2 linked regions of the Coturnix japonica genome follow. The protein of the gene in region 1 interacts with the protein of each later gene in a pairwise test. Links are inferred from orthologs where the notes say so. Each region holds a gene or a part of one and is shown on either strand. Other genes may lie near its edges.

Evidence for each region. The genes of interacting proteins can lie anywhere in the genome.
Region 2: the proteins of NDRG4 (region 1) and REEP6 interact in binary tests that used the Homo sapiens proteins (3 or more experiments, as listed by UniProt). The two-hybrid records come from large-scale screens. The link is inferred for Coturnix japonica from reciprocal best matches to the Homo sapiens genes NDRG4 and REEP6.

Annotation. Positions count from the first base shown.
Region 1 is NC_029526.1:2,093,134-2,095,763, forward strand, and holds part of NDRG4 (protein NDRG4), read left to right. Parts: intron 1-241; coding exon 242-345; intron 346-517; coding exon 518-574; intron 575-654; coding exon 655-706; intron 707-864; coding exon 865-912; intron 913-1,106; coding exon 1,107-1,142; intron 1,143-1,284; coding exon 1,285-1,336; intron 1,337-1,725; coding exon 1,726-1,764; intron 1,765-2,322; coding exon 2,323-2,477; 3' UTR 2,478-2,630. UniProt on the Homo sapiens protein: Contributes to the maintenance of intracerebral BDNF levels within the normal range, which is necessary for the preservation of spatial learning and the resistance to neuronal cell death caused by ischemic stress.
Region 2 is NC_029543.1:2,273,216-2,276,964, reverse strand, and holds REEP6 (receptor expression-enhancing protein 6), read left to right. Parts: upstream 1-1,094; coding exon 1,095-1,209; intron 1,210-2,830; coding exon 2,831-2,924; intron 2,925-3,046; coding exon 3,047-3,185; intron 3,186-3,336; coding exon 3,337-3,505; intron 3,506-3,641; coding exon 3,642-3,733; 3' UTR 3,734-3,748; downstream 3,749-3,749. Other genes in the region: PCSK4 (proprotein convertase subtilisin/kexin type 4), read right to left, coding at 1-41, 168-263, 343-447, 779-1,096. UniProt on the Homo sapiens protein: Required for correct function and survival of retinal photoreceptors. Required for retinal development.

The DNA of each region.
Region 1 (2,630 bases):
CTGCCTGCGCCTGTCCCCACAGCATCCCAGCCTGGCTGTGCCCTACCCCCAAGTGCTGGGTGCTGTGGTGCTGGGGATGGGCTTGGCAAAGCCCTGCCTGAATCCCTCCTGCCTGATGTGGGGCTCAGCCCTACCCGGTGCTGGGTGAGACTCATGCCTTCATCCTTCTGCTCTGCTGTCAGCGGGCAAGGCATGGGCACCTGGTGGCCCTGGCCCTGATTTCTGTCTCCTGCCGCTGCAGGAGGAGCTGGTGAACAACACGGAGCTGGTGCAGAGTTACAGGCAGCAGATTGGCAGCGTGGTGAACCAGTTCAACCTCCAGCTCTTCCTCAACATGTACAACAGGTGAGCAGCACCCAGCAGCACTGCCATCTTCAGCTGGGAGTGAAGGGAGGGGAGCAGTGTGCTGGGGGATCACAGTGTGCTGGGACACCAGGGCTCCACAGGGCCGTTCTCTGGGCACACCCCAGCTCTGTGCCTGCCTCCATGCTCACACTGGTTCTCTCTCCTCCTGCAGCCGCAGGGATCTCGACATCAACCGGCCCGGCACTGTGCCCAACGCCAAGACACTGCGGTAAGAGCTGCACAGGCACCGCCCAGGGCAAGGAGCCCAGCCCGAGCCCTGACTGTGCCCGTTCCTTCTCTCATTTCCAGCTGCCCTGTGATGTTGGTGGTGGGAGACAACGCTCCCGCTGAAGAGGGTGTGGTGAGTGATTGTAGGCATCCATGCTTGCAGGCACATGGGCACATGTGGTTGCCTGGGGTGGGATGTGCCAGTGCTGGGACCAAAGGTGGTACCTGTGGGCAGCTTCTGCCAGACGTGGGACACCCCATGGTGCTAGTTCTTGTCCCTCTCACCCACAGGTGGAGTGTAATTCCAAGCTGGATCCCACAAACACCACTTTTCTGAAGGTAAGTGGGTGATGGGGGGAGCAGTGCGGCCCTCACTGCCCTGCAGCAATAGGCTGTCCTTGTCTCCCAGCCCGAGGTCCATATGGGACTGGAGTGAGCAGGGTGACCTGGCAGTAGGATCCTGCCAGTGGGCACCAGGGTTTGGGGTGGGGGAAAAGGCGTCCCTCGAACTAACCGGGACCTTCTCTGTGCAGATGGCAGATTCTGGTGGGCTGCCCCAGGTGACACAGGTGAGTGTCCTCCATCAGCCCCTGAGACATGGCCTGGTGCGGCCCCTGTCCATAAAGGGATGGGCTGATGTGGGCACAGGAGTCCCACGGGGGTCCTGGTGCTGGTGTGGGGCTGTGCAGCTCCTTCTCTCTCTCCCTGCAGCCCGGCAAGCTGACCGAAGCCTTCAAGTACTTCCTGCAAGGCATGGGCTACAGTGAGTGCCAGGGCTGGGCATGGGGCTGCCTGGGTGTGCGTGTGTGTGTGTGTGTGTGCGTGTGTGTGTGTGTGTGTGCGTGTGTGTGTGTGTGTGTGTGTGCCACAGAGCAGCCTGGCACATGCGTGTGCCCATCCTGAAGGAGGGCTGTAAATGTGTCCCTAGTGCTGTGTGTGTACAAGGTGCCCATCCATGTGTTTGGGGTGTGGGGTGAACAGGCTGTGTGTGTAAGAGGACTGTGTGTGTGTGTGTGTGTGTGTGTGCGGGTCCGTGTGCACCCACACAGATGTGTGCACGCACATGGGTCAGGAGGAGCCCTGTGTCCCTGTGCAGCCCCCGCTGCAGCTGATGTTCTCTCTCTGCCCTCCTCCTCCTCCTGCTCCCGCCAGTCGCCCACCTGAAGGATCGGAGGCTGAGTGGAGGTGCAGGTACCGCTGCATGGTGCCCTCCTGGCGCTGAGCCCTGCCACTGCTGGGTGCCTTTGGGAGCAGCCTGGGCATGGGGCTGCCCTTCCCCAGCGGTGCCTTCTGCCCTGCTCTGCTTTGCCCAAAGCGTTGGGCTGCCCCCACCCTGAGCCAGGGCTGCGGGCTGAGCATTGGCGTTCAGACAAGTGTCCCCATGCAGGCAGCATGCCCACCGCGTGCTCTTCCACACAACAGGAGCTGTGCCCGCGGTGCATTATGCTGGAGGAAGGTCCACCTTCACCCTGGGGAGCAGGGAACGCTCCCATCCCCACTCACACCCCCTGGAGCACGGTGGCTGGGGCTTCCCACTGCCTCACTGCCCAGGGGATTGGCTGGGGCACCGCATCCTCTGCCAGCACGGAGCTGCTCGTGTTGTGGCACTGCATGCTGCAAGCTTGTGCCTGGGGCCATCTGCCTTGGGGAGTGGGGCCAGCTCCAGGCCAGCAGCTTTGCTTGCATTAGGCAGTGTCGGCCCAGCCCCTCCTGGCCGAGCACCCAGCCCCCCTCTCTGTGCCCTTGCAGTGCCGTCCGCCAGCATGACCCGCCTGGCACGCTCCCGTACAGCCTCGCTCACCAGCGCCAGTTCGGTGGAAGGTGCCCGACCACGTGCCTGTACCCACTCGGAGAGCAGCGAGGCCATGGGGCAGATCAACCACACCATGGAGGTATCGTGCTGAGGCCCACGGCTGCCACCACCGTTTCCTCCAGAGCCATTTCCCATCCGTCAGCATCCCGCCAGCACCCACCCGCCCCGCGGACGACCTCTGCCAGTGCTCTCGCTCCCCTGGGGTTGATTAATTTTCTTTGCTGTTGGCCACCCTCCCTCGCTG
Region 2 (3,749 bases), on another chromosome or scaffold:
CAAGCAGAGAGGATGTTGAGATCAGGGCTGATGTCGTTGTTCTGGACAAGGGATTGGGATGGATCAGTGCATCCTGCTGCCTCATCACTGCTGGCATTAGTCCTGCTTATGCTCAGGGCAGGTGATTGAGGACATTGGGATTAGATGGGAGAGCAGCACCATCTCACCATGTACCACTGCTTGGGGAACCAAGGGTCTGTGGGCACCACGTTGATGCTCCTCTTGGCTCTGATCTTCACTGTTTGCTGCTCAAACCAAAGAACCTGGGTGGGAAGCAGCGTTGTTGGCACTATGTGTGTTCCCATAAGGGTGCCCTGGTCTAATGTGCAGCCCAGCCCCTACCTGTGGTTCCCTGCTCAGCCTCAGGCTCCAGCCCCAGTGCCTGCTCAGGGATGTCTGCCTGGAGCCACGGTGTTGGAAGTGATAGTAGGGCTCTCCATCCAGCACCTGCAGTGAGGGCTGAGCTCAGGGGGCTGCATGGAGATGGGCAGAAAGAAATGGGGGGGGGGGGATGCCAGTTCAAAGTCTGCTGGGCTGCAGGGTGGGAAGGATGCTTTGGGATCATGGAGTGACTGTAGGGGCTGGGAGGGACTTCTAGAGGTCATTGAGTGCATTCCCCTGCCAAAGCAGGCTCCCTGCACCACGATGGTGCTGGAAAAGGGGCTGCTCTGCACCATGCACGGGCTCCCTCTCCTACCTATGCTTGTAGCAGGTAGCTGTGCAGCCCTATAGGACCCCATATACCCCATACACAGCCCTACAGCGGGTCGGACCTCACCTGCCCCACGCAGATCAGCCCGTACCGCTGTGCCAACAGCCCCGCATCCCTCTGCCCCTCCGCGACCAACACAGCCCAGCTGCTCAGATAAACGCTGCTCGGAGCGTCGTGCGGACCCGCTGTGAGCCCCAAACCCACCCCCAGCCCCACACCCAATAACACCCCCAGCCCCCACGCCCCCCCTATGCCGTGCGGTGTCGCCATGCCCTGCGCTCTGCGTGCGTTACCATAGAGCTGGAGACGCCACCTGCCCGTCCCTCCCCGCTCCGCCCCGCACAGAACCGGGACCGCATAGGGCCGAGCGGGGCCCGCAGCCATGGGGACCGTCCAGCAGCGCCTGCAGCGCTTCCTCGACCGACCCGGACCGATCTCCGACCTCTTGGGCCGCCTGGAAGCCCGGACCGGTGTCCGCCGGTTTTACCTGGCTACAGGTGAGCCCGCAGCCCCACCGCGTGGACCCCTTCCCCTTCAGCCCCCTTCCCCTATTCCGGGTCCACCCCAGCCCCCTCCCCTTATTCCGGGTCCCCTTCAGCCCCCTCCCCCTATTCCGGGTCCCCCCCCAGCCCCGTGCTGCGCTGACAGCCCCACACTGCCCACCCTGGGGAAGGGAGGAAGCTGCCCAGGGGAGCCGTTGGTTATTTAGGGGAGGGGGTGTCTTCCTCTTCCCCCCCTTCGATCCCAGCCCCACATGGTGGGCTTCACAGAGCCCTGCCCTGCCCAGTGTTGCTCCCCACATCCCCCTGCCCTATGGAAGCCTGGCTGTAGCATGGAACCAAGCCCCCAACCCCCAGCAGGAGGGCAGAGGTCTGTTCGTTAACCAGCTGCTGTTTGTTCATTAACGAGAAACAAGTGATATCTCCCCACGGAGCCGATCCCGGCACCGTTTGACCCCCTCGGTGAGGCTGTCACCTCAACCTTGGCCATTTCTGTGCCTTGGCTGCGTTTATGACTTGCCATCTGCCTCCACGTTGCCATATGGAACCTCCTTATGGGGGGGGGGGGGGTCTGGGTTTCCCTGCTGTGCCCCCAGCCTGATTCCTGGCCCCACGGCTCCTATAGAGCTTTGGTTGCTCTGCTGGGATCTGACACGTGTTTGGAGCGCTGGTTCTGGGGCTCTGGTTGCACTTTGGGCTGTGGGTGACAGGGATAGAGCAGAGTTGTTGTTCCTGCAGCTCAGCTCCGATGTCTGGAAAGGAGAAGCTGATGCTCAACAACAAATATCGGGTTTCTTCCTCCCTTCCCCCCCACCCTGCAGCAATCCCTCAGCCCAGAAGGGGCTGCTCGGTATCTTATAAAGCAGCCACAGACCCAACAGCTGCCTCTGTAAAGGGTAAAGGGCACCAAGGAGGAGGACAGCATCCCCTCTGTGCCACATCTGCTTGTGGATGGGGATAAACCTTTGCCAAGCTCTCCATTCAGTGCTGCAGAGATGAGGCTTCACTGACCTCCTGTCCTGTATGGGAGGCAGAGATGGGGCTCTGGGTGTGGGAGCCTTGGAGCAGCTCCTCCACCAGCCTGATCAGGACCCATAGGACACAGAATCCCTTCCTCCTCCTCCTGTGTTCACATTGTGGGTTTAGGACCCCGGGATGTGTCTCCTTCCTGCCCTCCTTCACACAAGGCTCCTCTGTGTTCAAAGCTGAGCCTCTCCTTTGTGTTTTGCTCTTACATAAATTTCTCCGGGGCTAAACTTAGCCTGTGCAATCCATTCTAAGGCTCTTTAGGGAATGAAACCCGGAGCTGCCTGAACCTGCCTGCTTATTTCCCTTGGAGGGGGAAGCTGTAACTGCTCCCACCAGCTGGGAACAGCGCCCAGCTCCCTTTGCAAAGCCCAGAGGTGCCCATATGAGCACAGAGCATGGAGCAGATCTGCTGCTGTGAGCAGCACAGGGATGAGCCCTGTGTCCTCTGTGCCCCTTCCCTCTGATTCACTGCCACAGACAGGCTAAGTCCCAGCTCTCTTGCCCTGCTGTAGGATAAGGTGCTTAAGCTGCTGCTAAGCAGGAGCTGAGACACCATTGGGGTGGCTGAACTCTTGGCTCTATCCTGCAGGCTCCTTGGCTTTCGTGGGGCTGTACCTGGTGTTTGGCTACGGTGCCTCATTGGTCTGCAACCTCATTGGCTTTGCCTACCCTGCATATGTCTCGTAAGTACTGACCCTACAGCTCTGGATGGTCACTCCTGAAACACTGGGGAGTTGTTATGGGGCTCATTGCCAGGCCTGGAGATATGGGAACAAACCAGTAATTGATGTCCTCCATCCCATAGCATCAAAGCCATCGAGAGCTCCAGCAAGGAGGATGACACCACGTGGCTCACATACTGGGTGGTGTACGGTGTCTTCAGCATAGCCGAGTTCTTCTCTGACATTTTCCTCTACTGGTTCCCCTTTTATTATGCTGGGAAGGTAACGACTTCATGGGGGCACAGGGGAGACCCCCCCTTTGATGGCTGAGCTCTTGTGGTTCATGTATTGAGCTCTGGGGCTTCCTCTGGGCACCTTTGGCAGTACTGGGATGCCCATACAATCCAGCTCTGCAGCATCTCTTCCCCTATAGTGCCTGTTCCTGGTGTGGTGCATGGCCCCAGTGTCCTGGAATGGCTCCCAAGTGCTTTATCACAGCATCATCCGACCCTGCTTCCTCAAACACCACCGTGCTGTGGACTCGGTGCTCAGCGACCTCAGCACCAAAGCACTGGATGCAGCCTCTGCCATCACTAGAGAAGGTAACGTGGGTCCAACCCTCATCATGGGGCAGCTCTCAGTGCCCCACACCCCTCCTGTATCCCACCCCATATCCCCACAGTGATGGCAGCCCGGCCCTTCTCTTTATCTTTCTTCTTCCTACGCCTCCTGGAGCAGTTCTACACACTCTGCTCAGCAGCAGAGCCCGGCTGGCTGCCCAAGTCACCCCGCAGCTCAGCGTGTCTGTATGTAACAGCCATATCCCATAGCCCAGGTCCTGCTCCT